Arabidopsis thaliana: one gene and its partners. The protein of the gene in region 3 interacts with the protein of the main gene of each other region in a biochemical or structural test. Each region holds a gene or a part of one and is shown on either strand. Other genes may lie near its edges.

Region 1 (5,857 bases), on a different chromosome or scaffold from region 3:
TTCTTATGACTGCTTTGAAATCTTCCACTTGTTGAACGCTGCATAGTCTCCATGGATTGCGAATTGTGCCATCTGGTTTTACCTCGTCTTCCTGTTTCAATGCTGCACGGTTAAAGAACCTGCGTATTTGAAAACTCATTAGAACGGCCTCTCAGTGCAAGAATGAAACTGCGGTTTTCGAGCCGGTTTTTCTACCTGAAACTCTTTGTGGGCATTGTGATTGATTCATTGTGGTAGTCTTTTTCGTTGGTGGAAACCACAGCTTTTCTTTTGCGTAATGCTGCGAAAATGACGCATAGTAGACTTGTGAAGGGACTTCCCAAAGGCTTGTCATGCTTGTAGAATCTTTTCCCCGAGACGAAAACCAAAAAACTGAAGAAATTAGCGGCTACAGACAGACCAAACCCAAGGGTCCAGCTGATATTGTCTTCGGTGTAGACAATGGCGGTTGCACTTATAGCTCCGGCTAGATATGTTGTGAAGAAAAACCAGTTGAAAAAGCTTCCTTGGTCTTTAGTTTTTTCATACTGGTTCGCACCAGCAGTTGCTAATGTGAACCGTGTCCCACCTGTTCCTATAGAGGCTAGAGTTATGGCCGTGTAAAGGACTCCGAGCTGGGTTTTCGAAGGAGACTGGCATAGTATTGAAGCTGTTTCGCAGGGTCTAGGTCTTAAAGTGTCAAGTGAAGCAGTTAGAGTCAGTAGAGCTACACCCTGGTCAAGAGTAGAATTAGTGAATTTCTGTTTCAGAGAGAAACTGATAAAAACAAATGTCAAGGACTCTTTATTAACTTTACCATAAGAGAAATGAAAGCTGAAACTGAGATAACAGGAATGGTTCCAAAGAAAGAGTCAGATGCAATGGCTGCAACAGCTGGAACCATACAGATACAACCACTAACAATATTAGCAATCTGAGCCGCTGCAATGCTCTTCACGTTGAATTCCTCGATCAGGTAGACGATCAAGTTAAGTAACCAACCCCACGCAGCTATTGTCAAGCCTAACAACGTAGCTGCACCATAGAAAGATAAGATAAATTCAACTTCTTCTTCCAAGCTCTAATGGTTATGAAGTTATGAGAAATATAAAAACAGAGAAACAGAATCTCTCACCTATCATAAACGGAAAGGTAATCCAACCTCCACCACGGCGTTTGGTGCTTGAATCTGCTGATATCGCTGTTTCTGCATCGCCAGTAACTGAACTAGCCATGTCTCAAAATCAAGCAGAAATCTTTCACTATTTTTGTCAACAATGGCCTGAAATTCTGAAACATATATACAGTATAAGTAATAATACAGCAATGATGACTTTCTCGGGTCCACGATATTTTATTCTCCATGCGCAGCAGCTTCAAATAAAGAAACATTAAGAAAGTAAAACAAAAACTCAAAGGTTTCCGTTGATGCAAGTTGAGCCATCACTGTCTGCTTCGTAACAGCCTGTGTGAAGACAACATTATTTCCAACCCAACGTTTTAGAAGTCAACTCTAAATTGTCAGACAAAGGATATTACAATATTACTAAAGAAAGACACATTTGTGCCTAATTATTGCTAAGGAATTGACCATTTCTACTTCAATAATGCAAGCTACCTAAAGCCAATCCCACTAAAATCTATTGAAAGTCATTGAATGAGAATAGACAACTCACGGCGACAGCATTGACTCTGGCTCTAGCTCTATAATGTCTCCCACAAATATTGAGGCTCTGTACATTACAAAATTATATTCTCTCTTCTCTTTGTTTACTAGGGAAGACTCAAGAGTATGTGAAGTAAAAAAGTCTATAGATATTCTTTAATAACTGGAGTACTTTACATTGGAGCTACACTTAATCACTAGCAGTAAATAACATGAACAAACAAATAAAAGTTACAAGATTACATATGTGGAAGAAGTACATGAATAAAAGAACAGGCAAAGATACTAAGTAGCCATTCGGATGGTTATTGGGTAATACCAGGCATTCACGGGGCTGCTGCACTTCTAACCGTATGTTGGATTGAGTGCTATGGCTTCTTGGTAGATCATCTCTTTTATCTGTTCCTCATCCAGAGGCTGTTGTTCGAACTCAAAAGAGAATGGCTTTTGACAGATTGGCTCATCATTCGGGTCGTGCAATTTAGCAAGGTACTGGTGATTCAGAGCTTGTTCAACTGCACAAGATGGTATTTTCAGTTTTTAATCAAAACATAGTGATGGTAAGAAAAACCAACAGAGAACATGTATGAAACTTACCAGTGATTCTTCTGTTGGGGTCAAACGTCAACATTCTGTCAACAAGATCAATGGCCATTGGGTTAACATGAGAGAAAAGTTTAGCTAAGGGCTGACGTGGGAAGTTGGGAAGTTGCCGGATGTATCTTTTCGCATCCTCATTGTGAGTAAAACCGAGATCAGATTCTGTCGGTGTGCCAAGCAACTGCAAGATTCAAACAAATTCATCACATATTCCGTGAAAAGGCAGAATCTTTAAACCATGCTAAAATTACATAACTCTCTAAAATATTTTACCTCTGTCAATAAGCGCATTTGATGAACATGGTCTTTACCAGGGAACAAAGGCTTTCTATTCATAAGCTCCATAAAGATACAACCAACAGACCAAACATCAATAGCAGCTGTGTAATCTGAAGAGTTCAACAGAAGCTCAGGTGCTCTATACCATCTCGTAACAACATACTCAGTCATAAAATCATTCTCTGAAGTAGGTCTAGCAAGACCGAAATCACAAATCTTTAAATCGCAATTCGCGTTCAACAGAAGATTGCTCGGCTTTAAATCCCTATGAATAATGTTAGCTGAGTGGATATACTTCAGTCCTCGAAGTAGCTGGTACAAGAAGTACTGTTTCCATGACAACAAAAACACCAAATCAAGTATCAGTTTCATGTCTCTTCTATCAAATATAAATCCCAGAAAAAAGCCAAGAACAGTTTTTAGTTTACCTGACAGTGTTCTTCTGATAAACTCTGGTTAGATCTGATGATTTGATGAAGATCAGTATCCATTAATTCAGTAGAGATATAAACATCACTGAACTGTCTTCTTAGTGGTGGTGGAACAACATCTCTTATAGCTATAATCTGTTGCAATACCAAATCAAAAAACCCTAATCATGATTTATTTACTAATTTCTACAGATATTTCACAAAATCGAACAAAAACACTAACGTTTTCATGATCAAGATGACGAAGAAGCTTGATCTCACGAAGCGTACGCTTAGCATCCATATGATTATCAAAAGCATTAGCTATCTTCTTCATCGCTACTAGCTCGTTCGTCTCCGTATCCAACACAGAGCTTCACAAAATCAAAATCCAGAAATTAAAAACTCCGATCTCAAAGAATAAAACTTAAGAAAAAGCTCAGAGAAGGAAACATACCAAACGATTCCATAAGCTCCACGACCAATTGGTATAATCGGAGGACGATACTTAGATGTGATCTCGAATAAACTACCGAAGATATCGTAACTTATGAACTGTCCTCCGTGAGTTTCCACCGCCGGAAAATCCGTGTATTGGCCACCGCCGGTGTTCATTTCTCTCTCAATTGATCAAAGTCGAGATTCAGTGGTTGCTTTGAGGTTTGAAGTAGTGAATCTGAAGGTATTTGTATGGTTTTATATAACAGTCGGAGTCAACAGAGAGACTGAGATTGAGGATTGAGCAGAGATGAGTTTTCGCGGTAATTGCGAGGAAGAAGATGAAGAAGAAGAAGAAGAGAGAAGAGGGAAAGGCAGAGAAGATCGTGTGGTTGAGATTAGAGCCGCCTCAAATCGACGGTTTCTGTTCGTTGTTGACTTCGTCAACGTTCTTCCTCTTCCTAACGTCCTTTACGGTTCTGTATCTATCTATCTGCCATAGTTAAATAATGACAATAATAGTGTGGGGATTTTAGTAATTGTAATCTTAATTGGATCATATTCGTTTTAATACGATCAATAAATTAATTAATATACTCGTTTTATTCGTTCAGGAATTAAAATTTTGTATTGTTTTACGTTACGTAAAATTATATAACACTCGTTTTAAGTATTGTATTTTATGCGATTAATTTATTATAAGTATTGAATATCATGTGTGGTTTACGATGGTTAATAATATTATTATTATATAGACTAAATTAGTTTAAAAACAAAAGATACTATTCAATTATGATTTTTAAGTAAGCTATTTTCGATCAGAATTTTTTTATTCTCTTCTTTCTCTAAAATTTTGAGAAAAAGAAAAAATTCTTTGTTTCGTATGCCTTCCCGTATGTTTGTGAGGTTGTGTTCGGACATGGTCCAACTTTTTGTTTCAATACCGTACGGTGAGTTCTAGTTATAGTTACCGGTAAATCCGGTTTTATCGTCGCCGTTCTTTGGTATTTTGCCTTTATTTGTCTTTATTTCTAATAAACTTATTAAGTTTCTTCATTACGAAGAAAAAGTGGAAGTTTAAGAGTTTCGGCTTCATAAGCCTTGTCGTTCAAATTTTGTAGTAGTTTCACTTGATGGGCATGGCGACGTTAAGTCTCACCGGAAAATCTTTTTGGTTGCTTACGTCATTGTGATGCTTCATGCTACTTTGGAATGGTGGACGCTTTCCTTCATATGAAAGAAAGTTTCGTTCGTTTGTTAAATCTGAGTTTAATTTCGTTTGGAAGAGGAAGACTAGATGTGCAATTTCTTTAGAGGGTCTTCAGTGCTCTACTTGAAGCTTCTGGTTTTGCGGAGTGAACGAACTTTCGGTGGGTAGGCGTTCTTCGATCTCAGAAAACATGCCGGCAGTGGTTGGCATTCTCGACAAACACGTTCTTCTCGTCACGTGTCTGTGATTTCCTCATGAGGCGACACATGTCTCTGTGTTGTATGGCTTTCTTATCCCTTCCTCGATGGGTTACTATATTGGGCTCGGTTTGACTTTTGTTGTTGGACTTTTGTTTTAAGAAGGCTTTGTTTTAAGAAGAAAGAGATAGCAAAATAGGCAAAATCTCTATTTGCGCAAATTGGTTTTGGAGTTGAGAAGCGGATCTTTGTGGTTACTTTTCGTTAGGATATCTGTGTAAGAGGGCCTTGCAGAAGTTTTGGATTGATTGGATTGCACTCATGGCTCCATCAGATCGCGTGTTAAGTGTAAAGGTTCCCCGAATGGGGATTAAGTGAGAGATTCAGTTTCTCCCTTTTTAGTATCTTATTTTCTTTTGAGATTTCTGTAAGATTTACTCTTTCAATAGTTCATTGTTAGTTTACAAATTTGATTCGTCTTTTACCGACCAACATATACCATTTCATTTCCAATGAAAGCAGACAAGATAAAGCAGAACTTGCAGATTATGAAAATGTTCAATTCTGAGTAGATGAAAATTAAAGGAGATTATCTATATGTGTTTGATAATTTAATATCGTAATGCTCATTAGCCTATCGAATTCTGTAAGTGGAGTTTTCCACTATTGTAACACTTTGTTGTTATATATCAAAGCCAACACTTATGAAGAAAAAAAAGTAAGCTATTTTCGAGTTCGAACAAGATATTAATATTTAGTTTACAAATTCCTCTAAATAATCGTATGCGCTATATAATTTATGTTCCAACATTATCGTTAAAAATATTGATTTTGTTATGAAATTTATTTAAGTTAGAGTTCTATTTATGTTAAGGAATAACGATGCATCGTTAAACTTCACTGGATTATAACCTTCTAAAACTATTCCAAAGTCATCTAAAAGTGATTTCAAATACTTAACCTTATCAAAACAATGATTGTTTAAATTAGTTCTAAACTTTAAATCGAGTACTTCCTAGATGGACAAACGAAAATCATTAGGTACGGGCAAAATCGAAAGCTTATAAAGAGCTTCCAA
Region 2 (9,301 bases), on a different chromosome or scaffold from region 3:
GGCAGAGAAGTATAATGCTTCTGGGCTTCTGGCTTTGACCATAACCATGAAGTTAATCACATGCAACACAATTTGCAATGGAGGAGAAGAGCTGAATTTTTCTAATTAATAAATAAAATTTGGAGCCCATAATTTACATTGCTATATCTCTCTATAGCTCCTGGCTTCGAAGTAATTTTATCATCGTCCACACAAAAAAAACCTATTTCGAGTATACAAACTACTAATTAAATCGGAACCACTGTGCCCACTTTTCTTTTCTATCAGAGAAACTAAATCAGCCAGTGCTTCGCTTTGCAAATTACATCCTGCAGTGTAGCAGACAAGGCCAAGATTCTGAACCGATATTGAAGAGAGAGTCAACAACATCATACAAGTGAAAATATCAATACCGGTTCAATTCTTGCCTGCACAGAGAATTATGCAAATCTTGTTTAAACTCCGGTGTCTTGTCTGATGATCCTGTTCATTGTTCTGTGCATAGCGTTAAGAATCAAAAGGAACACCGAATCATCCCAAGAGAGACACAACAGAACAGACAAATCAGGAAGAATATTACTCAGAATCCGAGTCAATGGAGAGGTACATCCGAGGTCTTACAGAACGCTTCTGGCGAGGAAATGAAAATGGATTATCTGATCTTTGCTTCTTTGCCTTGTCTTGTCTACTGTCATTCATACCCAGAAGCAACGACGCTGCAAATACGCAGTAATAGTCAGTAAGTATACCACATGGACTATGGACATATATAAAGTAGCATATTCAAAGACAAAATACGCCACATAGAAACTAAAACAGATATTTCTTCTTCAGTTGTTTATAAGACCTAGCTAGCAGCTTAGTAAAGTGATGAAAAAGGTAATGCAACATCAAGAACATGGTCCACATTTTTAGGTCCCTTTGATGTTTTCAGGAAAGCATTAGTCTCAGACAGGGAACAAACCAGTCTCTGTTGTAGTATCCATAGAACCTTCCCTCGTAGACATCTGATGGCTTGAGTTAATCCCGTTTGTAGTTGCAGGATCTCCATGATTCCCAGAGGCGCTATCGCCTAGCCTAAGCGAGATCCAGTCTTCACTACGGAGACCATTTGACATATCAGCTTGGTTTTTAAAACCCGACTGAGCTGAAGCATCTGGTTTTGTTGGCAAAAATATTTGAAGTGAGGGATCGTCTCTACCAAATGCAAGAGGATTGTCAACTAGGCCATCGTTTGCTTCAGATCGGCCAGTAGAGCCAGGAACCACAGGAACAGATGCCATTGATGTCTCAGGAGCCATGGTATAACCTCCATTTATTTCAGGAGAACAGTTTAGTGGACTATGATGATGCAAACCAACTAAACCTCCTGAAACGTCAGCATCAGATCTAAATAGTTGGAACCCAGGGGCTTCTGGAGTTTCAGAAGGAAATGACCAAAGGGGCGTATCAAATTCATCATCATCATTGAAAAGACCTAAGCCTGAACTTCCCCCAGCTATGCTGTGTGGGTCCTCATTATATGAGTTAATTATTCCAGGAGGGTTCAGTGGAAAAGTAAGTCCACCATCTGTTTGACAACCACTGTATGCAGGCCCTGGAGTGATCACTAAATCATTCTCGTCATCAGAATCACTCAGAACGATGACTTCATTATTTCCACCCTCGCCAGATTGGTTTCTGTCAGGAAAGTTATAACCTGAATCAACATTCATGGAAATGGAATCAAGTTCCATGCCGTTGGCTACAAAGTCAAAAGTTCCAATAGCATCCTGGTTTACGCTTGCATCATCACCATCCCTACCACTTCCAGTAGCACTACTACTCATTGGTATAATATTCTTCTCCTGATACCCAACCTTTTCTTGCCTATTACTGGAAGATAATCCATTTGTATTAGGTTTGCTAACTTCCCAAATGCCATTACGATTCTTCCTTATTCCAAGTTTTAGCGGGGCTGGACCATCTGAGTAACCTTCTTGCTTAACCGGTAACATTTCCATCTTCCGTTTAATATCAACAGCAGAGGGGCAAAGGCTACCATCAGGTGCATGCCACTGTGAGAGTTCCCCCAGTTCCCTTCGCTCACTCTCTCTTTTGAACTTTACACGCCAAGAACCATCAGGTTTCACTTCAATTTCAGTCACCTCTTCATCACAATGCTTCATCTGTCGTGCAGGAAGACAACTACTGAATAAAAGCGTAGATACAAAGATTTTAAGAATTCTTGAATTCCCATAAGAATACATACCTTAGACGTGATACGGTTAAAATAAGGATCGACGATTACATGCTCCACTGAGTAGTTCTTCAGACAAATAGGGCACTGCCACTGCATGTTAACAAACCCCAGAACAACTAAAGTCAGAAAACAAGAGACATAACCCAATATCTAGACAAGGATAGTAGACCTACCTTTCTGGAACGTTGATTCAACTCCACAAACACATCAAGGTCAAAACAGCCCATGTGCACACAGGGTAAAAATCTCCCAGCAACTTTTATCCTAGAACCGCTCATCTAATGACGCAAACAGAAAAGACAATAAAAAAAATTCAGTCTGCAAGATAGCCCTAGGAAGAGGATAAGTATAAAAACTGGGCTACGAGCTATTAGTAACTTACAGGACACCGAAGATTGACACCGAAGAAATCAGCAACAACTTCAATGTCACTATCACTGTCGGCATTATCATCTCCACCTCCACCTCCAATGCATCGGCGGACACGTGCAAGAGCATCTTCAAAAGTCTCCCCTTTACCCTCTTCTGGAATCAAATTTAGAACCTAGATGCAAAAATGAGTATATATATAAGCAACTTGGAGATCATTAGATCATTAACGTACAATATGAATTCCTCTGTATACAAGAACACCAACAAAAGTGATAAATATATTGATTAAAGGGATAAATGTTGCAGCACAAGGACAGACTACACTTCCGTAACCAAATCTCATACAAGGCCAGGCTCAGTGGCTCATATACGTGAAATATAGGAAGAAGAATAGGACTGTGAAATTTGAAATCTGACTAACTTTTCTAGATTTAGTGGGAGTGGGAAATAACATGGGAATAGTTTAACGTAAGTGTGTAACCACAGGTAACTTCCACAAAATTACTTTCTTGGGTACGCCAACATAATTTATTCTTTCTTTTTGTATTCAGAATATTAATTTCGTTCCTTTTTGAACATTTATGTTTGGACTCTTCATTGACCACATATACGACCAAATCTTTGAATGTTTCTTATGCATATATGTTATCAGTACCTGTTGTAGAGTCCTGCGCTTCACAAGTCTGACCCCAAAACAAAAAATCCGAACGTCACCTCCACTCAAGGATATTCTGTTAACTCCATCCCTAATACAAGATGTAATCTGCCAAAATAGTAAAATGAAATGGTTAAAACTTACATCACTGATTGCTAGATTTTCAATGTATGAGAGATTGACTCCTATATGTAATTCAAAAGGGTTACTACTCAAAAGGGATGATAAAAAACACACAATGGGTCCATCGTCGCGGCCGTTGACTCCCAAAAGCTGTCCTCCAGGTCGATTAATTGCACGTACAGGCACACCTATGAAATGATAGGGTATATATCATGAATCCCACATCAGAAACATACACAGTCTTATTGAGTATGATCAGAATAACAGACAAATAAAGACAATGTGAATGTGAATGGAATGTGCCCACAGGAATTTATGCAACATGAAATAAAACAACATTCCCCTGTTTCAAAGGAAATGCTCAACCGACTAAAACTCTGGTCGATGTCATTGTCATACCATTGACCTGCAGATCAGCATACTGAGGCCACTGCATCCTAAAGAGAACTTTATCATTCAAGAGCATACACCAAGCCTAAACAAAATTGATTTCCAGTTAGAAACGTATAGGTAGATACACCTTGACATATTAAATGTAGTTTACAAAACCCAACCTGAACATCGTACTCTGGTTTGGCCAAAAGGTCCTTGTCTGCCCTTGTGATTTGAAATGTTCTCTCCACACTCTGCATTGTGCTTGCACTGAAAAGTTTTGGATCGGAGTATTAGTACAAACAAAAGCCAGTAACAGTATTTCTTCAGCAGGTGCTATGCATATAGCCAGGAAACAATTGTCATTCTTGAAACTAGAATGAATGTCTTATACCAGTTCCAAGTAGAAAATTTAAAGTCAAAGTGACTTATAAAGTACCAATTCACACAATAATGGCACTGAAAGTACACTCGTTCAAAGCAATAGCAATATCAAGAATATAAAATTCTTACCCATCATTTGGGATAGTCGTTGCAGTCAGCCTCACTGGAGAGAGTGGATGTGCCACTGTAACCCAAAATCTGAACAAGGAAACCATGTAGGAAAACCGTGAATAATCATGCTATAGGATATCCACAGGTGCTAATGTAAAGATAGGAAATAATATATAAAAGAAAATTGACAACTATGAAAACAGTACTAGAAGAAGAAGAACAATCAAACGCAAAGAAACTAGAATGCAAAGCATGTCAAATGTATAAATATGTCTTTCTTTTCAGTTATGGCAGGAAAGAATCATAAAGCAGTGAGGGAGGAACTCAGATGGAAAATCAATCACATATCAAACTTAAACTCAGACAGGAAAAGTAAAATCCTTGAAACACATACGGGTCAGCTCGAGTAAGTCGGCAGATTTCACAATAAAATGATTCCGGAAGTGGTGGATTCCCATCCATAGGCTTATCTGGGAGAATAACACAGCCAACATGCTGCCAAACATGGCATCTTGGATCCTCACACTGAAATCGGAAGAAAAAAAACAAAAATTACAGCCAGAAAGTATCACCAAACTTCACAAATGTAATCAATGATAAATACATCACACCATCGACCATAAAATACAAAGAAATTGTCTACAGTCAGCTCAAACAGGAATAAACGCAGTGAGTTCATCCCAGATTACCTGTATCATTGAGTCTGTTTCTAGCGAGTTTCCACAAACACATCGAACTTTAATTTCTGGTTGGAAGGGGTCTTCAGGCTCTCCCTTAACTTTCAGATTACTGGTATCTGAACTCACTTGTCCTTTTGATGCTAAATCACTTGCCCCAGATACTTGCATTTTCCTATGGAACACAATATAAAATTAATGGTAACAAAGAACCGCCACAAAAAGCATGGCATCTCCTAAGAAATCTATTGAAAGAAACGAGCACTCACCTATATGTATCGTCCACTAATTTGGCAACTGCTTCCTTTGCCACTGTATTCTTTTTAGACAACAACCTGGCAGCTGTCAGTAGGGAATGAAAACGGAAGCTTATTAGAAGAAGATGGCAGAGCTAGCAGTGACTCTTAATACACCAAAACGTGAATAAACAAAAGCAAGTGGTTCATATAACCTTGTTCATCAGAAAGAAGGGTCAAGATCCGGTCGACAAGTTCCTGCACAAGAAAATTTCAAAAAGAAGTTAAATTTTTTGGTGAAAGAATAAAACAGATAACACTCTTTGCAAGGTAATGTCTTAGATTTATCTTGGAAACTGCTATATAGCTCAAGACAGCAATAATTATCACCCAAAACATCATCTTCTCTACTATAATCATTCCAAAACAATCACAAACATAATCACGACCAATGGAAGATTAGAGAACGATACTAACCTGCTTCTTTCCCTGTTTCGAAAGTCCCAGCTGAGTGAGCACATCCTTGAGCTCTTTTATCCGAAAATATGAAAGTTTTTCCTGCAACCCACAACAAAAACACAACGTTAAGCTTAACTAGAGCAAGACTAAATTCAATAACAGCAACCACGAACCATAATCCAAAACCCTTATGAGATAAAGGATCGTTTTTTACTCCCAGCAATACAATCTAGATCATAAACAAAACGGAAAAGCAAAGCTTTTTTGAAACATCCACTCTATATACCAATCAACACATTCATAACAAGTTCAAATCAACAAAAATTATAAACCAACAAGCATCCATAGATCTTTCAGACAATAATACCTTACAATTAGCTTCCAAATCCATGTCTTCAACACCAGACACAAACAAGAACCAAAAGCTCAGTTCAAAACACACGAACCTAAACTCCAGCAATTAGTCTCCATACAGCAACCGATCTAAATTAACAGAAAAAAAAGAAGGAGTTACTGAAACGAAAACCCTTGAAATTCCAAAAGACAAGACCTTTAAAGACTATTAAACGGAAAATACAAACCATGAAATCGGATACTTGATCAAACCCTATCGAAATTGATAGGTTAATGAGAGAATTGAGATGATTAGAAACTAGGGTTTTCACAGCTACGATAAGATTTTCTTTGGCCAAGGAAGAGGAAAATAAAAAGACAACCAAACCCAGACGAAGAAAAATCGATCCGCCGAGACGAAAACAAAACAAGGGTTGCCGGACGAGTCGCCGATTATCAAATCCGGTTTAATTTTCGCGCAATACGTCCGGGTTTAGTTCCTGTGTGGTCACGTGCACGGTCGTCCCCCCCACCAATATTGACGTGTTTTTGACTTTCGGTTCTCACACCACTTATTTACGACCGTAACGGAGTCTTTGTTATTTTAATCGAATATTCCCCACGTTTTATGACATCAGCCGTTCGATCAGACCGGACCGGTTTGTTATATTTTAACCTCAATTTGTTTATTTGCCGGTTTATAGTATATATCAAATCAATTTGGAAGTTTATCATCCGAAAACATGGTTTTCCATATGTCTCTCATGGCATATGTAGATATTGTATTATTTGATTCTAATTCTTCTAAGTAAGAATTTGGAAACATATTTCATGTCTCTTTTCTTCATTTGTTTTCATTGAATTGACATAGAATGTACATTGAATTGACATTTCTCACCCTCGCTAAATTCATTGAGAATTGTGGCTCAATTCTTCCATATGTGCATTATAGTTAAACTACGAATAAAGGATACAAGTGAGCAAAACCCTACTTTCAAGTTTCAACTAGTAAATCTATCGAATGGATTGCTAGACCGGATAATTCATACTCATTACGGGATGGTTCGTAAAACATGTGGGAAATTATCTTATATATCCACCAAATATTTGAGGTCTCGTAAGCATGTGATCTTGCAAATTGATACGTGGACCAAATTAGATATTGGACACATTTATATGTTCTTTCTATATGTAAAAAGCTTCATTCCGTGTGGAGTTCATTTGTTACAAGAAATGAGATATTATAGATATCAAATAGCATGAAGCTCTTTCTTCAACACTATTTCTACATACAAAAAAAAACATTATATACCAATTAGTGGTGGACTTCTGGTGATAAGATTTGGCTTTTTATCTTTTTGGATGCTGTGTTTTGAACAATGACTTGTCGAGTTTGAACCAAATTTGGTGTTAACCCGAGATATTAAAAAAAGGTTTAATTAGACCTATAGATTTTCCTTGTTCTGCTTAATGAAGATTCTAGAGTAGTCGTGAGCTGGTCTCATTGACTTGATATTTTTTTTGCTTCTAATGGAATGAGATATCTTGAGTTCATGATGTGGATAGTTTTCAAAGATTTGTCAACCTTTTCGTCTTAACATTTTTATATGTCCCTTGTCAAAGGCAAAGAAACATATCGAAAGTAAAAGAAAAGACATTTTTTTCTTGTGGGTGAGAATCAAACCAAACTTGTGAGAATTCTGCAAACGTACACAACTCTTAAATTGATAAAGCTTTTCTTGAAACTTTCAGGCTGAGGATGTGCTGCTAATCATGTGAGCTCCTTGCTGAGCTAACATTCAAAAGACCAAAACATATTTGAGCAAATAGCAAGAACCTATCTTGGAACAGATTATCATTTTAGGTAAGAGAAGACGATCTAGAGGCTCAAACCAAGGTCCTCTACGGAGCAGTTTCATTGTTTTTATGGTGTTACTATGTAAGTAGAAAGAGAATAGTTTATGAATATTAAGATGCATCTTTGTTAGAGGGTGATTATTGAACAACTGAAATACCTTGATCTCTCCGTATTAAGATGCATATATAAGGATTGCTACGTAGGAGAGATACCGTCACCACTAGTTAACTTCTTAGAAGAGGTGATGGCGCTATCTCTCCTGCGAAGCAAATCTTTATTTGCAGTTTTAAAACCATAGAAGAAGCAAGACCACTTGTATGTGTAATCACTCTATTAGTATCACCTCATCCATATATATATTATTACCTTAAGGTCAAAGAAGAGTGGACTTAATTTACACTGTCACTATCTTTGCTCTTAAATCATAATTGTCATTTAGTTTGCTGCTTTCTATGTGGCTACAATCAAATGATTATCAGGATTATTATCCCAAGTGAGGTCATGTTGTTAACGTCATCTCCAATGATTTGGCATTACCTTCATTTCCAAGAATTCACATTGATAAGTTTTTTTGTGTGTGTATATACTCTGTAGTTTATTTGAGCTCTTGATTTTGCATCTATACACAGATGCTACATATGTTCATGAACATAGATAGTGGAGAAAATTTTGGTACTTATCCATAACTAGTCCTTTGTGACCCATGTTACATATGTTGGTACTATGTCTCAAAAGCAATGACTTATCCATAACTAGTCCCTTGTATAATGTTGGTACTATGTACTATGAACAGCTCCTGGATTGTCACTTTGTAGCAAGTAGATTCTTGTAACACTCAACCATACCAACTAGCATATAATATTCTAATTATAGGCATAAATCTCAACAAAACACTTTTGACTGCTAGTTTTTAGTCTTTTTGGAGACCAAATTTCATTGTTAAGATTTGATCAAAAGGTATTATTCAAGTTATATGCAAATCATTGCAAGATTTGTTCCAATAATCATCAATTCCAAAAGTAAATGCCTTTGTCTCATTGTTACCATGTAATAAATGGTGAAAGTGATGTTAAATCTTGCATCACTGTTTTTAAGGGTCTGCTTAATACAGAAGTTTAGGTGGGAATTACTTTAATGAGCAAGTTGGTTCAAAAAACAAGTTGACAAGACTTGATATGAATGATTTAGCAGATGAGAGGCTGCATTTATTCTTGCTGAAAAAGAATAAAACTGAAAAGCCCTTATTGTCCTCGTCATACTTTTATCAATCCAACTGAGGAAAAAAAAAGAACAGTCCAAATTAGCTAGAGTTGTCTTTATTATCATGCGGAGGAAAAAAGGTAAAGTGAAACCAAAATTTATTTTCACTATAACACAAAGATCATATTCAGAACTATTTTCTTTTTAATTCACTCACAGACGGTACTTTTCTATAAAGTTTGATTAATGCATTTTAATAGTAGAAGAAGAAGAGACCATACCTAATACCTACTACTCTCA
Region 3 (7,753 bases):
TGATTCATAAAAAGAGTTTTTCGGATCTTATATATCAAAAAGGGTCAAATACTCCTAGATCTTTGTAGACAAGCATTTAATCAAAAAAAGTAAATTAATATGTGAGAAAATTCTTGTATTTGATGAACAAGTGGACGCATCACAAATGAATGCGTAGTCTTTGGACTAAATTTCGAGAGCTTGAAATTCATTTCACCTCCCATTTGCTTATTAGAAGCCAAACGGTTTTGAATAAGCTCCGCCCTTTCCATAAGCACATGCAGCTTACTTCTAAGTTTCCGGCTTTTCAGTGAGCTCACGCTTTCATTTAGCGACACATGGCCGTCGACTTCATAAATTTTGAGGTCACGATTTTGGTGTTAACTTCGGCGTTTTATCCATTTTTCTTGGATTTTTTTGTGGGTTCATTTTGGTAGTTCGGGTATATAGTTCACTTTAACATGACTTGCAAGATAATGCGCTACTGAAAATGTCGTTATGACATGATAATTATAAATTCTGTGCAAAGTTGATTATTACTTACTAGCATAAAGGCTTAAAACCAAAATTGACTCTTGAATTTATTTCATTACACCGGATGCAAAAGATAAAAGTTAGCGGGTCCATACGTTCTTACACATGTATCATTTATAATTAATAATCTAATAATCGAAAATCCATTTTAGTAGAAAACAAAACAAAACAGAAAATCGAAAATTCAAACAAGTGACAAAAATAATATTACGACCCGTCCCTTTGTTTGGTTGCCCCGTTCGTGTATTTGCTTGGCCGTTGGTGTTCCCATGCGCCACTTAGCCTCCAAAGTCTTCTCTCTAAACTCCTTTTTTATACCATAATCTCTGTTTAGTTTATACTTAATTGCGCTTTATCTTCTTAATCGTCATGTAATCCATAAAAATCTTCGAGATATTTACTTTCTCGACTTAATTAATTAATACAATTTCTCTATATTAAACTAGTCAACAATATGCTCAATATCATATCATACATATATGTTTTAGCCCACAGGATTCTCACTCTCCATTTTCTTATTATTACACTGACGTCTAATTTGACGTTGATTTTAAGAAATTGAAGTCAATATAGACAAAATCTATCTGTGAATATGCTGATTAATACCCTTTTATGTAATATGTATGTACACGTGATGTACTTTTAATCTTGAGTCATACATCTATGATATTTTGCATTCATTAACATACAATTTCCCAAAACTATGAGCAAGTTTACGTGTTACTTTTGTCTTTAATCATCATTCAATATTATCGAAAAGTTCGTTGCCATATCATATATTTGTGGAATAAAACTAGGTAATATTGTTCTTGTTTTACATTAACTAATGCATTTTTTTTTGGGGGGCACACATTAACTTATGCATATTCCAAATAAATAAACTATTTTGTCGCCGTGACACATTGATAAAAAAAACATTCTAGTGCTTCGATTGAAAATTCAAGTTTCTCCAAAATTTACTCTCCGCTGCATCCGCACTTTACAATTGTAAAAGAGAATACCCAGTATTTTGCATAGACAAATCTATTTTTTTTTTTTTTGATGGGTATTTTTTATATCTATGTCGTAAGTACGTTACGTTAGCTAGCTAGAACATTCCCTAGCAAGAACTAGTAGTGAGTGAGGAAGAGAAAAAAGAACTCAGCATTGCTTATACAAGAGTCCATGTTTGTGGATCCAAGGGAAGGTTTATCTCAGCTTTTTTTCCTCAAGAGAAAGGTGTATCTTGCCCGTGGTTACTCGATTGTTGTTCGTATTCAATTTATTAAATTTTATAGCTTCAAGGGAAGGCATGTGTTTCTTCTTTTTTAAGTGCAATATTTTTGTTTATTACATAAAGTACTTCCTGGAAGTTTCGTATAGACTCCAATAGGGTTTCTCTGACTTTTCCAATTTCAGTGTCGGAGTACATTAACTCTAAAGAAATAAACATGCATGAACATGCTTTTTCATATTCTACATATATTTTGCAGTCTATAATTGGTTTTTCCACTGTGGTTTACGCTAAAATAAATAATATGTTCTTGTTAAATGGCCACAAACAATTCCGACACCATAAATGTGAAACTTTTAACAAAACTATATTATCAATAACTAGCTAAATTATGATCAAGACCAGTAAACATTTCAACACTTAACGTAAAGAAATGAATTGGCTATTGACGATATAATTTTTTTCCATAGAAAACTATGCATATGTTTGTCACAATTTTTTTCTTTCTTTGTATTAAAGTTAAGTGTTGAGTGAGAGAGGTATCATAATCATAGTACCCTCCCACGATATTGCCCACGGATCGAATCCTTAGACCCGCATTTTATTTTTAACTTCATATCGCATTAGTATTTAAAAGCAAATATATATATCCTATGAAATAAAAATCTCCCGCCTTAAAGGCCAAACCTTAGGATCTAGGTAGGTGGGTCCCTCTACTCAGCGACCACACAAACTCACATTTGTCAATTTCTCCTCTCTCTTAATTTATTAATTATTTTATTTACTCATCTCTGTAACGCCCCCTATAAATACAACCTCTCATTTACTCATTCAGAAACCAAAAAATTTCACAAACCAAACCAAAACCAAAAAAATAGCTTATCTCTCTCTTATCACCGGTTCAATCACTAAACCATGGCGACCTCCGTCGATAACCGCCATTATCCCACCATGAACGGCGTCGCTCACGCCTTCAAACCTCCTCTCGTTCCTTCTCCTCGCTCATTCGACCGCCACCGTCACCAAAACCAAACTCTCGACGTCATCCTCACCGAAACTAAAATCGTCAAAGAAACCGAAGTCATCACCACCGTCGTAGACAGTTACGACGACTCCTCAAGCGACGACGAAGACGAGAGCCATAACCGTAACGTCCCTTACTACAAAGAGCTGGTTAAAAAATCAAACAGCGATTTAGAACCGTCGATTTTAGATCCGAGAGATGAATCAACGGCTGATAGTTGGATTCAACGTAACTCATCCATGCTCCGTCTCACCGGAAAACATCCATTCAACGCCGAAGCACCTCTTCCTCGTCTTATGCACCATGGATTCATCACTCCAGTTCCACTCCATTACGTCCGCAACCACGGTGCAGTTCCCAAAGCGAATTGGTCAGACTGGTCAATCGAAATTACCGGACTCGTTAAACGTCCGGCTAAATTCACCATGGAAGAGCTAATCTCCGAGTTCCCCAGCCGCGAATTCCCGGTGACACTCGTCTGCGCCGGTAATCGCCGCAAGGAACAGAACATGGTGAAACAAACGATCGGATTCAATTGGGGATCCGCCGGAGTATCTACTTCTCTATGGAAAGGTATTCCGTTAAGCGAAATCCTCCGTCGATGCGGGATCTATAGCCGGAGAGGAGGCGCGTTAAACGTTTGCTTCGAAGGAGCGGAGGATCTTCCCGGCGGCGGCGGATCTAAATACGGAACAAGTATTAAGAAGGAGATGGCGATGGATCCGGCTAGAGATATTATCTTAGCTTATATGCAAAACGGCGAGCTTTTAACGCCGGATCATGGGTTTCCGGTTCGGGTCATTGTACCGGGTTTCATCGGTGGTCGGATGGTTAAATGGTTAAAGAGAATCATCGTCACGCCTCAAGAATCTGACAGTTACTATCACTATAAAGACAATCGAGTCCTTCCTTCTCTCGTTGATGCTGAGCTGGCAAATTCCGAAGGTAAACTATTAACTTACCCTTGTCTTCTTTTACATTTTAGTTACCGATGCTAATATTATTTACTTGTTTTTGTTACAGCTTGGTGGTATAAGCCTGAATACATAATCAACGAGCTTAATATAAACTCGGTGATTACAACACCTGGTCACGCAGAGATTTTACCGATTAATGCATTCACTACTCAGAAGCCGTACACATTAAAAGGCTACGCTTATTCTGGTAATTTATTTTAACTTTGCTTTAGTTAAAAGTTAAAAGGATTCTTTACTATGTAATTAAAATCCTGATCGGTGTATTGATGAAATAAACAGGAGGAGGTAAGAAGGTAACGAGGGTTGAGGTGACTCTAGACGGAGGAGACACGTGGAGTGTTTGTGAGCTTGACCACCAGGAGAAACCGAACAAGTACGGTAAATTCTGGTGCTGGTGTTTCTGGTCACTTGACGTTGAGGTTCTTGATCTGCTCAGTGCTAAAGACGTCGCGGTTCGAGCCTGGGACGAGTCTTTCAATACTCAGCCTGATAAACTCATCTGGAACCTCATGGTAATAATCCTCTCTCTTGATATTTTTAAATTATAGAATTAATTAGTTTACTTTATTCTTTACTATATGATTTAAATAGTTTAATCTTGTTTTTGAGTAAACTATTCGATTTTGATATTTGTATTCGTCCTACAAAGTTGGAACTACTGATGATATTTTCTTTTGAACGTGATACCTACCAATACTAATCTTACGGAATCTTTTAATAGAGCACTAATCAACATGGAACTAAAGACCAATTCTTTAAGTGTCTCTGTTGTACAGTTCATTTTAGTAGTGCGTTTAAGTATTATAATCTCCCTTCATGCGGGGCAATTATGTAGATTAAAATCGAAATTATATAAAATTTACATAAGTCTAAGTCTAGGGTCTCCAGCTAATTGTTATTTTTTTAACGATGTTGACTAAAGCAATAACGACGTTGACTTGTGTTAAACAGGGGATGATGAACAATTGCTGGTTCAGGATTAGGACCAACGTGTGCAAGCCTCATAGAGGAGAGATAGGGATAGTTTTCGAACACCCGACCAGACCCGGAAACCAGTCGGGTGGGTGGATGGCAAAGGAGCGTCAGCTTGAGATTTCCTCAGAATCCAACAATACCTTGAAGAAATCTGTCTCATCTCCTTTCATGAACACTGCCTCGAAGATGTATTCAATCTCTGAAGTTAGAAAACACAACACTGCTGACTCTGCATGGATCATCGTCCACGGTCACATCTATGACTGTACACGTTTCTTGAAAGATCATCCAGGAGGCACAGATTCTATCCTGATAAACGCAGGTACAGATTGCACCGAAGAGTTTGAAGCCATTCACTCTGACAAAGCCAAGAAGCTTTTGGAAGATTACCGTATCGGTGAACTCATCACCACTGGCTACGACTCTTCCCCTAACGTCTCAGTTCATGGTGCCTCAAACTTTGGTCCTTTGTTAGCTCCAATCAAAGAGCTAACTCCTCAAAAGAACATTGCTTTGGTCAACCCACGTGAGAAAATCCCGGTTAGGCTCATTGAGAAGACTTCGATCTCGCACGACGTTCGTAAGTTCCGATTCGCATTACCATCAGAAGATCAACAGCTTGGTTTACCCGTGGGGAAGCACGTTTTCGTTTGCGCCAACATAAACGACAAACTCTGTCTCAGAGCTTATACTCCCACCAGCGCCATCGACGCGGTTGGTCATATCGACCTCGTCGTCAAAGTTTACTTCAAAGACGTTCATCCAAGGTTTCCCAATGGTGGACTCATGTCTCAACACTTAGACTCGTTACCAATCGGGTCAATGATAGATATCAAAGGTCCACTAGGGCACATCGAGTACAAAGGCAAAGGCAACTTCCTGGTCAGCGGCAAACCTAAGTTTGCCAAGAAACTAGCAATGCTCGCCGGAGGAACAGGCATCACTCCTATCTACCAGATCATTCAATCTATATTGAGTGATCCAGAGGACGAAACCGAGATGTATGTGGTTTACGCAAACAGAACCGAGGATGACATTCTTGTGAGGGAAGAGCTAGAAGGATGGGCTAGTAAGCATAAGGAGAGGCTAAAGATTTGGTACGTCGTTGAAATCGCAAAGGAAGGTTGGAGTTACAGTACCGGGTTTATAACTGAAGCTGTGCTTAGGGAACATATCCCTGAAGGTTTGGAAGGCGAATCGCTAGCACTCGCATGCGGACCACCGCCTATGATTCAGTTTGCGTTGCAGCCAAATCTAGAGAAGATGGGTTACAACGTGAAGGAGGATCTCTTAATCTTCTAGATTTGCTCAAGTTCTGTGCTATTGGAAATTCGAAAGTTGATAACAAGTATCGCTTATGTGTGTATATACATGGTTATTTGGGCACTTTTGTTATAGTTGTTGTTTATCAGAGCTCCAAATTGTATATTGTATAAAATTGTGTTTAATTATGATCTATGTTGTTGATGATGATGATGATAAATGATGAACTTATTGTAACTCAAACTTCTTGTGTCTTGATATTATCGTTTTTTTTTTGTTATTGCATGTCAGGACTCATGTCACAACATCTTCTATTTGAGTTATTATGCTTCCATAATGTGTCGTGTCATCTATTACTGGTCGTCTAATAAGTTAGTTATAGTTCACATCAAGTGTTATTCATTTAATCACGCCTGGTAAACGTTTTGTCGTATAAGACTAATAGTTTTAAGTTAGTTACCACTTGTGGTCGTGTTGCTTTCAATCGTCAGTGACAACAAAAAAAGACAAACATGCATGAAAATAAACGTTTAATGCAAAGATACGCATATCATTATGTCAAAGGGAGACGAATGATGCTACAGTATGCGTTCGATACAAAAAATGGAAAAAGATCTAAAATGGATTTTCGTTTCGGCCCCACAAGATTCGTGGTTCATACGCATTTTACAAGTAATAATATTATGGAGAATGGTGATATGTAAAAAACATTGGATCTTTTTTTTTGTCACACAAGACTTTCATAGTGAGTAACGAAAGTTAAAAATGAAGGTATCCATGATTCCATATTTAATTATTAATTATAAAGAGAATTCAAGATCCACAGTGAATAAATAATAAGAACGGATTCGGTGATATTGCAACTATATAATGAAATTGAATACTCTGATTCATCGCTTTGTATCAAGATCGAATCTCTAAAAACATATACTCTATAATAAATATCTGCAGTCGAATTGTGATATATTGTAAGCAATCTGAAAAGAATAAGTGGGATATATAAACAACCGGCGAAAGTACAAGTTCTACCTTTTTTTGGCATGGAACCATGTTTTTAGGATTTACTTTGTAATTCCTGAATCTTTCATTTCTTGAATTGATATTTACATTTTTATCAAAAAAAAAGTACAAGTTCTACCAAAGCACAGGAGTTAAACAACTTGTGTGTCAAATGCTAATTTAAAGCCTAATCTTATGATTTCCCTTTTCTTCACGATATATACTGATATTGATATGCACCCATTTGTTTGTCATTAACTTCCCACTCTATACATCAGTATCTCAAAGTCGAATAACAATATCCATAAGAAGTGGTATATTGTGAAAAAAAAAAAAAAAAGTGGTATACTGGTATATACAATACCACGGTCTCGAATTGCCTCAACAATTTCTAGGAGAAAATGGACGTGTCTCTTTGGTTTTATTTTATTCTTAATAACATACTCTATATTTTAAACACTTCGATGTCTCGCTTAAATTTCGAATGTGCCTAAATTTCTCTAATCATAAATCGTAAAGAAAATTCGTCGAAGCCACAGGGACATGCATAGGGCACGTAGTTACCTTTAAAACCATCAAAAATATATTAATAGAAAAGGAAACTTCCTAAAAGAACAATTTAATAAAGTGGATAAAAAAAGATAAGAAGGTAGGCAGAAGAAAACGTATGGCCGCGACTCGTAACAAGGGACGTCCCGACCACTGCGGAGACGGCGAGACGCTGACTGATTTTTTCTTTTTCTTTTCCTAAAGAACGTTGTTTCGTGCTTACAAGGGTCAAAACCATAT
Region 4 (6,493 bases), on a different chromosome or scaffold from region 3:
ACAGATCATTAAGAAATCGATATCTCTCTAAAACTTGTTGTGGTTTTGCACCAGAGACGAAAAAAGGACTTCAAGTCCGGTTACAGAGATCTCACAGATTCAATTTTGACATAAAGCAAAGCAACCACTAACACCAAATTTAGTACTAGCAGCTCGATTCGTCTCAAAATCGAAACATACATGCATGATTCACCTCCCATTATATTACAGACAGTGAAGAGTTCAAGAAAAAAAGCTTGATAGATACCAAAATTCCAGCAGAAGACTTCATAGAACGAAATTACTTAAAAGAGTAACCCTACATAGAAAGAAGTTACGCACCGAAGTCAAAGGAAGGGGAGGGAGGCACGAATCGCTCGGTGTCGTCGCAAAATTACCGGAACCCTAAACCCAGAGAGAAAAAGCTCGCGAGAAAGAGGAAGAGAGAGATTCAGAAATTAAACAAGTCTGTATTTAATTTTGGTTTATTTGCAAAATATTGATAAGACCCTATTTTATGACGGAATGAACCCGATACTATTCTTTTTGTCAAAATAACCCATCTCCTGCATGTTTTTTGGGCTGACAAATTGGGTTTCTTTTGATTGATTTTGACGGCGTAGTAACAGAAATTTATGGATAGCCACACCTTAGCTTAGACCAAACGTTTAGGTACAAAGAGTATGATAAAGTTGAGAACTTAAGACAATGTCAAGAACATCAAAACCATGTCCTGATCATACATTCTCTTGTTTAATCAATGTATTATAGATTGGACTGAGACTCAAACACAGATGCCACTCGATGTCAGAAACGAGCCACTTTCGTGACAAAAGAAGCTTGGAAAGCAAAGATAAATAACGGGTTTGGTTGGACATATCAAGCCAGTGAGGATTAGACCTTAGATGGAACCTTGGTGTCAGTGTCCACCTGTTTTTGGCCTTCGAACTTGTCTATAGCCACTTGAAGCTCGTCTGTGCCACCAACCGCCCTCATTGTGTAGAAGTATACCCCAAAAACAAAAGCTGTCAAGCCACCAGCTACAACCGTGTTCTTGCCTTTTGGGCCTAGGTAACTAAAACCTGGAAATCCCGCCATTACTTCAAAGTCTTTAACCTGCAAGATCCAATGTGTCACATGTTACAGAAGAGACCCAAGTATCAGAAGTATTAGATTATGTTATATCTTCAATATCACAGTTTCATAAATACTAAGATGAGGAATAACAAGAGAGAACTCTGAAGCATGATATAACAACTTTTGATTACTCTTTTTAACATTGCAGAAGTGACTCCAGAAGCCCTGAGGCATCGCAGGACATTGACATATTGTTCATATAGTGAAAAACAGATTACACAGATTGAATACGACGAATTTTCGAATTGTTATACTTATACCTCATCCTAAGAACTACTACGCCAAGAGTAAGTGATAGTACTCACAACGAGATCAAAGATGAGTACAATCATGGTATGAATGAACAACTGAAAGTTGCAAAACATTTCAGCAAAATAGAACTTTCTTCTGCATCATAATGGAAACGGAGAGAAAATCAATTGGTCACATTCATGCCCATCAGTCTAACATAATTGTCCACAAAATCAGCGCACTTCCCTTTAACGAGTCAATCAACCATAAATCATCAACCAAAGCAAAAATAAAGGCAATTAGAAACCTAACTCTACATCTATACATCCAAAGCTAACATCTTTTAAACGCAGGCTACTGTTACTCAACCAAAGTTCTCAAAACCAGATCAAAATGTCAAAATGAAAGGAGAGCAGAAAATATCAATCAAAAATTGGTTCTTTAAGCAAATTACTCCAAAGTCCACAAAATTAAAATGGAATCGAAAGGAACCTGGTGATGAAGGTTTGATGATCACTCGAAAATCCGAAAGATACAACAAAGCTGATATTTTTTTCTTCTACAGAGAATCGTGCCTAAATGCGACAGAAGCCTAAAGTTTCCCTATTTAGTTGACAACTGGTTCGGTGACGCTTAGTGTCGTGGCCACTTACCAATCTATCGAAAACCCTAAACCCAGTAAGAGCTCTCGTGTGAAAGAGGGATAGAGGCAGAAAGCAAGCCGTCTCGAGTTCGAACCCAACTGTATAACACAAGAGAAGAGATTTATTGCTTCATTATGTAAAAAATATTGAGATGATCCTTGTAATTTTGGAATATTATCAAATTGAACCACCATACTTTTTAAAAATCCAAATAACCCTCAACCAAGCATGTTTCATGTTGTGGCCTCATTCACACTATACGACTATCAAGTTCATCGAAATTCTTGATAGAGAACTTTAAATACTTAAATAGTTAATTTAGATACTATCTAATAACTTTTGGCGGTTTATAAGTTTTTGTGTTTTTCAATCTACATAAAATTTAGCGATTTTTCATGTTACAAAAATAATCTCAAAATTAAAGTACAACCCAAAAACATAATATCAATGATAATAACTACATTTATCTATGATTCATTTTCACCCAACATTTACATTCAAAAAAATGCTGTTGTTACTTGTTAATGATAACGATTAAGGAAGGAAGTCAATGGAACAAAAAAAAAAATGGTGATAAGTCAATGTAAAACGATGCCGTTTGTAACCATAACAGTGTTAAACATGAGAATAAAGGATCAAACTTTGAACAGTGGCTTGCTTGCTTGCTTACACACACGGGTCAAGTGAAGACCCAAAAAAAAATAAAAAAATTAATAGATCCGTACGCACATGACTTTCACTTCTTGTCTCTCAGATCTGTTTTGACCCCAAAACCAACGAATATCAATTTCTCCAATTTCATTCATAATTCACTCACCCCAAAATTACAAAAAAAAAAAAAAAAAAAGATTTTCCATTTCCCTCTTCTCGATCCACCACCACCACCAACCTCAAAAGCTTTCATCTTTACCGGTCATGGACGGTGGTTCAGGTCAACCGGCGGCTGATACAGAGATGACAGAAGCTCCTGGAGGTTTTCCCGCGGCGGCTCCATCGCCTCAGATGCCTGGGATTGAGAATATTCCGGCGACTCTTAGCCATGGTGGTAGGTTTATTCAGTATAACATATTTGGAAACATCTTCGAGGTCACCGCTAAGTATAAGCCTCCGATCATGCCTATTGGCAAGGGTGCTTATGGCATCGTTTGGTAATTTTTCTCCGATTCTTTTGATTTTTGGCTTTTGCTTCTAATTGAAATAAAAAATGATTTTTGTTGATTGGGTTTTGGTAAAGTTGGTTACTTTTGATCCGCAATTTGTAAAATTGATTCCTTTGTATCGTTTTTGAGCTCTAATTATGATTGGGATTTATTTTTGTTTCAATGAAAGCTTTATCCTTTTGTGGTTTTATTTGATTTTGATTTTGCAGTTCGGCTATGAATTCTGAAACTAACGAGAGCGTTGCGATTAAGAAAATTGCTAACGCTTTTGACAATAAGATTGATGCTAAGAGGACTCTCCGTGAGATCAAGCTGCTTCGTCACATGGATCATGAAAATGTCAGTTTTTGCTCTTTCTTTGTTAACTAAGAGTCATCTGTTTATAGAGTCTTATGTAGAACATAATAGGATTGTAGATTTAAATACACTCGAAACATGGTAACTACTAGCTGATGCAAAATTGTTTAGGTAAATAGATGATGTATATATTTGATTGATATTGTATGGGCTGATTAGGTTCTGTGTATGAATGTGTTGTATCTGGTGGTTGCTTATTGCATTTAGATTTAAGGGAATATACATGAATGTTGACACAGTGTGCTTGTATTTTTTTCGGTTTGATACGGATTGTTTCGCGCTTATTCAGTAGTATGATCTTTTCCATCTGCGTCAAGATTTTAAATTCTAGAAATCAAATCGTAAAATGTAACCGTTTATCTATGTTGGCGTTTGCAACGTGTAAAACATTTCCGATTGATAAAACACTTACCATCTTTCTGTTAAATCAGATTGTTGCAATCAGAGATATTATCCCGCCACCATTAAGAAACGCTTTCAACGATGTTTACATCGCGTATGAGTTAATGGACACTGATCTCCATCAAATCATTCGGTCAAATCAAGCATTATCCGAAGAACATTGCCAGGTTTTGAGTTTTGAGATTGTTTGTTGACCTATATAACTCGACTTGAAAACGGGGACTAATTGAACTCCATTTCACTTGTCTCTTTGTGCAGTATTTTCTTTACCAGATCCTCCGTGGATTGAAATACATTCACTCTGCAAATGTGCTTCACAGGGATTTGAAACCAAGTAATCTCCTCCTGAACGCAAACTGCGACCTAAAAATCTGCGATTTTGGGCTAGCTCGAGTCACTTCTGAGAGTGATTTCATGACTGAATATGTTGTCACGAGATGGTACCGTGCACCAGAGCTTCTCTTAAACTCTTCTGATTATACTGCAGCTATCGATGTTTGGTCTGTAGGCTGTATTTTCATGGAGTTAATGGACCGTAAGCCACTCTTCCCTGGACGAGATCATGTCCATCAGCTTCGCTTGCTCATGGAGGTAAGTAGTAACCCTTCTTTGACCCAAAAATAAGCTTTGAAGCACTAAAGAAACAGACCGAGACCATTTTCTTTTTGCAGCTCATAGGAACTCCATCAGAAGAAGAGCTCGAGTTCTTGAACGAAAACGCAAAGCGATACATAAGACAGCTTCCACCTTATCCTCGCCAATCCATCACTGATAAGTTCCCGACAGTGCATCCTTTAGCTATAGACCTTATCGAGAAGATGTTAACATTTGATCCTAGACGGAGAATCACAGGTTAGTCCCTAACCTCTATACCATTTTTAACTTGCAAAATAACTGGAATTGCTTGTACGGATCATTCCAAAATCCCGAAAAAAGATTCAATCTAGTGAAGGAATAATAATAATGAGTTCTTGGTTATTTAAGAGTTAGTTAGTAGTCATCACCTCTTATTGATTCTTGATTCTCGATTCTTGATTCAGTTTTAGACGCATTGGCCCATCCATACCTGAACTCGTTGCACGACATAAGCGATGAGCCAGAGTGTACAATACCTTTCAACTTTGATTTTGAAAACCATGCACTCTCAGAGGAGCAGATGAAGGAACTAATCTACCGCGAGGCGCTTGCTTTCAATCCAGAATATCAGCAATAGTTTGAAGAACAGCATTTGGGAGATGAAGATGAGATAAGGGTTTGGCGTTATTTGGTTTGGACAACATTCTTAAAAGGAGGAAAGATCATTGTTTGTCTTTTGTGTATACTTGTGAGAGATGTTGAAGGGGATGGGTCTCAAACTTTATATTTCAGTCTTTTGGATAATTTGTTCTCTCTGTTTTTTTTTTTCCTATTCGTATTTGTAATTTGCCCTCATTTTGTTGTTGCAGTTATTTAAGACTTAAATTGTCTCAGAAATAGTTATGTTATGATAGCCCACCTTCAATTCCTCTACAAAATACTTGCCATTACTGTCAGCTTTCTTGTTTTATAAAACAGCAGGGAGAGAAATATTGCAGGGAGATGAGGATAGTACAAATCATGTCCTCGGGGTGAAAATTGAGCATTTGATGAACACAATCTCAAGTCTTGCACTGTGTCAACTCTTAAGACTGCCAAAGAATTTTGATTGTGGTGCAGGACCATCAGCCTCATCTTTACTTTGGTTTTGAGTGTCTGCCTCTAGACTTGTGTTTCCTCTCCCTCTTTGGCCTCTTAGAACTTGACCTTGACTTCCTAGATTCGTCTTTGTCACTACTTGAAGATTCAGAAGATGAGCTTGAGTCTGATGATCGCCTTTTCGAATGCTGCAAATCAATAAACACAATGTAAGCTAAAAGCTTCAAGCCAACAGAATTATAGAAGATGTTCAAACTAAACTCGATGCAGTTGTTATGTAAGCACCTTTCTCTTTTTGCTTTTCTTCCTCTTGGAATCTCTGCACTTTCTATCTGTGAGCTCTCTCTCCTTCCTATCTGTAAGATCAAATGGCATATTAGAAAAGCAAGACTCGAACTGCGGATTGTATGACATTCCATCTGCTTAAATTTATTGTAAGTGTATACCTTTCCTGGATATGTCACTAGAATAGTTCCTTCCCTTAGAGAGCTTCATTGCCCTTTCAGCATCTAGCTGAGCTCTATACTCACGCATCAATTTATCGGTATCTGCTTCGACTTCTTGCTTTTTCAATTCTTCTTCCTAAAGAGCGGTCACATGAAGCATATAGAGTGAGAAACATTTCTTATCTGTCGATGCTCCTAAAAACATCGATTTATCGATCAGCAGCTATACCTTTTGCTTCTGCTTATATTCTTCCCAAGTAAGAGTGTGTGTAGTCTTGAGACTGGCCAAACGAGCTGCATGCCATTCTGGTGAATGAAATGAACCATCCATCTGCGACTCGCCTCATCAGAAATGTTTTGGTAACAAGATAATAAGCATAAACATAACAATCTAGCCAGATTAACATGACAGAGAGAGGAACAAAGTAGCCCTAAACAAAGAAACGTTTTAAAACGTGATATT

Evidence for each region.
Region 1: the proteins of NIA1 (region 3) and MPK3 form a complex in vitro, tested with the Arabidopsis thaliana proteins (one study listed by BioGRID).
Region 2: of the proteins of NIA1 (region 3) and SIZ1, one has a biochemical effect on the other in vitro, tested with the Arabidopsis thaliana proteins (one study listed by BioGRID).
Region 4: the proteins of NIA1 (region 3) and MPK6 form a complex in vitro, tested with the Arabidopsis thaliana proteins (one study listed by BioGRID).

What each region holds. Positions count from the first base shown.
Region 1 is NC_003074.8:16,754,610-16,760,466, reverse strand, and holds MPK3 (mitogen-activated protein kinase 3), read right to left. Parts: upstream 3,897-5,857; 5' UTR 3,875-3,896; coding exon of another isoform or gene 3,683-3,874; 5' UTR 3,550-3,682; coding exon 3,392-3,549; intron 3,309-3,391; coding exon 3,179-3,308; intron 3,091-3,178; coding exon 2,953-3,090; intron 2,852-2,952; coding exon 2,519-2,851; intron 2,427-2,518; coding exon 2,243-2,426; intron 2,161-2,242; coding exon 1,991-2,160; 3' UTR 1,593-1,990; downstream 1-1,592. Other genes in the region: NAXT1 (nitrate excretion transporter1), read right to left, coding at 1-119, 196-713, 797-1,014, 1,115-1,214; AT3G45645 (uncharacterized protein), read left to right, coding at 3,683-3,874. UniProt on the Arabidopsis thaliana protein: Involved in oxidative stress-mediated signaling cascade (such as ozone). Involved in the innate immune MAP kinase signaling cascade (MEKK1, MKK4/MKK5 and MPK3/MPK6) downstream of bacterial flagellin receptor FLS2.
Region 2 is NC_003076.8:24,291,926-24,301,226, reverse strand, and holds SIZ1 (DNA-binding protein with MIZ/SP-RING zinc finger, PHD-finger and SAP domain-containing protein), read right to left. Parts: upstream 6,467-9,301; 5' UTR 6,192-6,466; intron 6,094-6,191; 5' UTR 6,002-6,093; coding exon 5,978-6,001; intron 5,710-5,977; coding exon 5,629-5,709; intron 5,410-5,628; coding exon 5,367-5,409; intron 5,258-5,366; coding exon 5,185-5,257; intron 5,091-5,184; coding exon 4,928-5,090; intron 4,764-4,927; coding exon 4,633-4,763; intron 4,326-4,632; coding exon 4,257-4,325; intron 4,014-4,256; coding exon 3,926-4,013; intron 3,847-3,925; coding exon 3,771-3,846; intron 3,560-3,770; coding exon 3,486-3,559; intron 3,357-3,485; coding exon 3,249-3,356; intron 2,766-3,248; coding exon 2,604-2,765; intron 2,500-2,603; coding exon 2,395-2,499; intron 2,312-2,394; coding exon 2,231-2,311; intron 2,148-2,230; coding exon 944-2,147; coding exon of another isoform or gene 927-943; exon of another isoform or gene 696-926; coding exon 560-695; coding exon of another isoform or gene 556-559; exon of another isoform or gene 475-555; coding exon 435-474; coding exon of another isoform or gene 397-434; and 2 more. UniProt on the Arabidopsis thaliana protein: E3 SUMO protein ligase involved in regulation processes. Mediates SUMO/ attachment to PHR1, a MYB transcriptional activator controlling the phosphate deficiency responses.
Region 3 is NC_003070.9:29,234,256-29,242,008, reverse strand, and holds NIA1 (nitrate reductase 1), read left to right. Parts: upstream 1-2,524; 5' UTR 2,525-2,641; coding exon 2,642-3,695; intron 3,696-3,773; coding exon 3,774-3,914; intron 3,915-4,006; coding exon 4,007-4,239; intron 4,240-4,678; coding exon 4,679-6,004; 3' UTR 6,005-6,288; downstream 6,289-7,753. UniProt on the Arabidopsis thaliana protein: Nitrate reductase is a key enzyme involved in the first step of nitrate assimilation in plants, fungi and bacteria.
Region 4 is NC_003071.7:18,135,571-18,142,063, forward strand, and holds MPK6 (MAP kinase 6), read left to right. Parts: upstream 1-2,675; 5' UTR 2,676-2,906; coding exon 2,907-3,139; exon of another isoform or gene 3,140-3,360; coding exon 3,361-3,490; intron 3,491-3,939; coding exon 3,940-4,077; intron 4,078-4,168; coding exon 4,169-4,501; intron 4,502-4,581; coding exon 4,582-4,762; intron 4,763-4,950; coding exon 4,951-5,123; 3' UTR 5,124-5,418; downstream 5,419-6,493. Other genes in the region: AT2G43780 (cytochrome oxidase assembly protein), read right to left, coding at 874-1,095, 1,422-1,481; AT2G43795 (corepressor), read right to left, coding at 5,565-5,772, 5,870-5,936, 6,031-6,166, 6,260-6,361. UniProt on the Arabidopsis thaliana protein: Mitogen-activated protein kinase (MAPK) which regulates abscisic acid (ABA) responses in a MAPKKK20-MKK5-MPK6 cascade involved in root growth (e.g. root cell division and elongation) and stomatal response.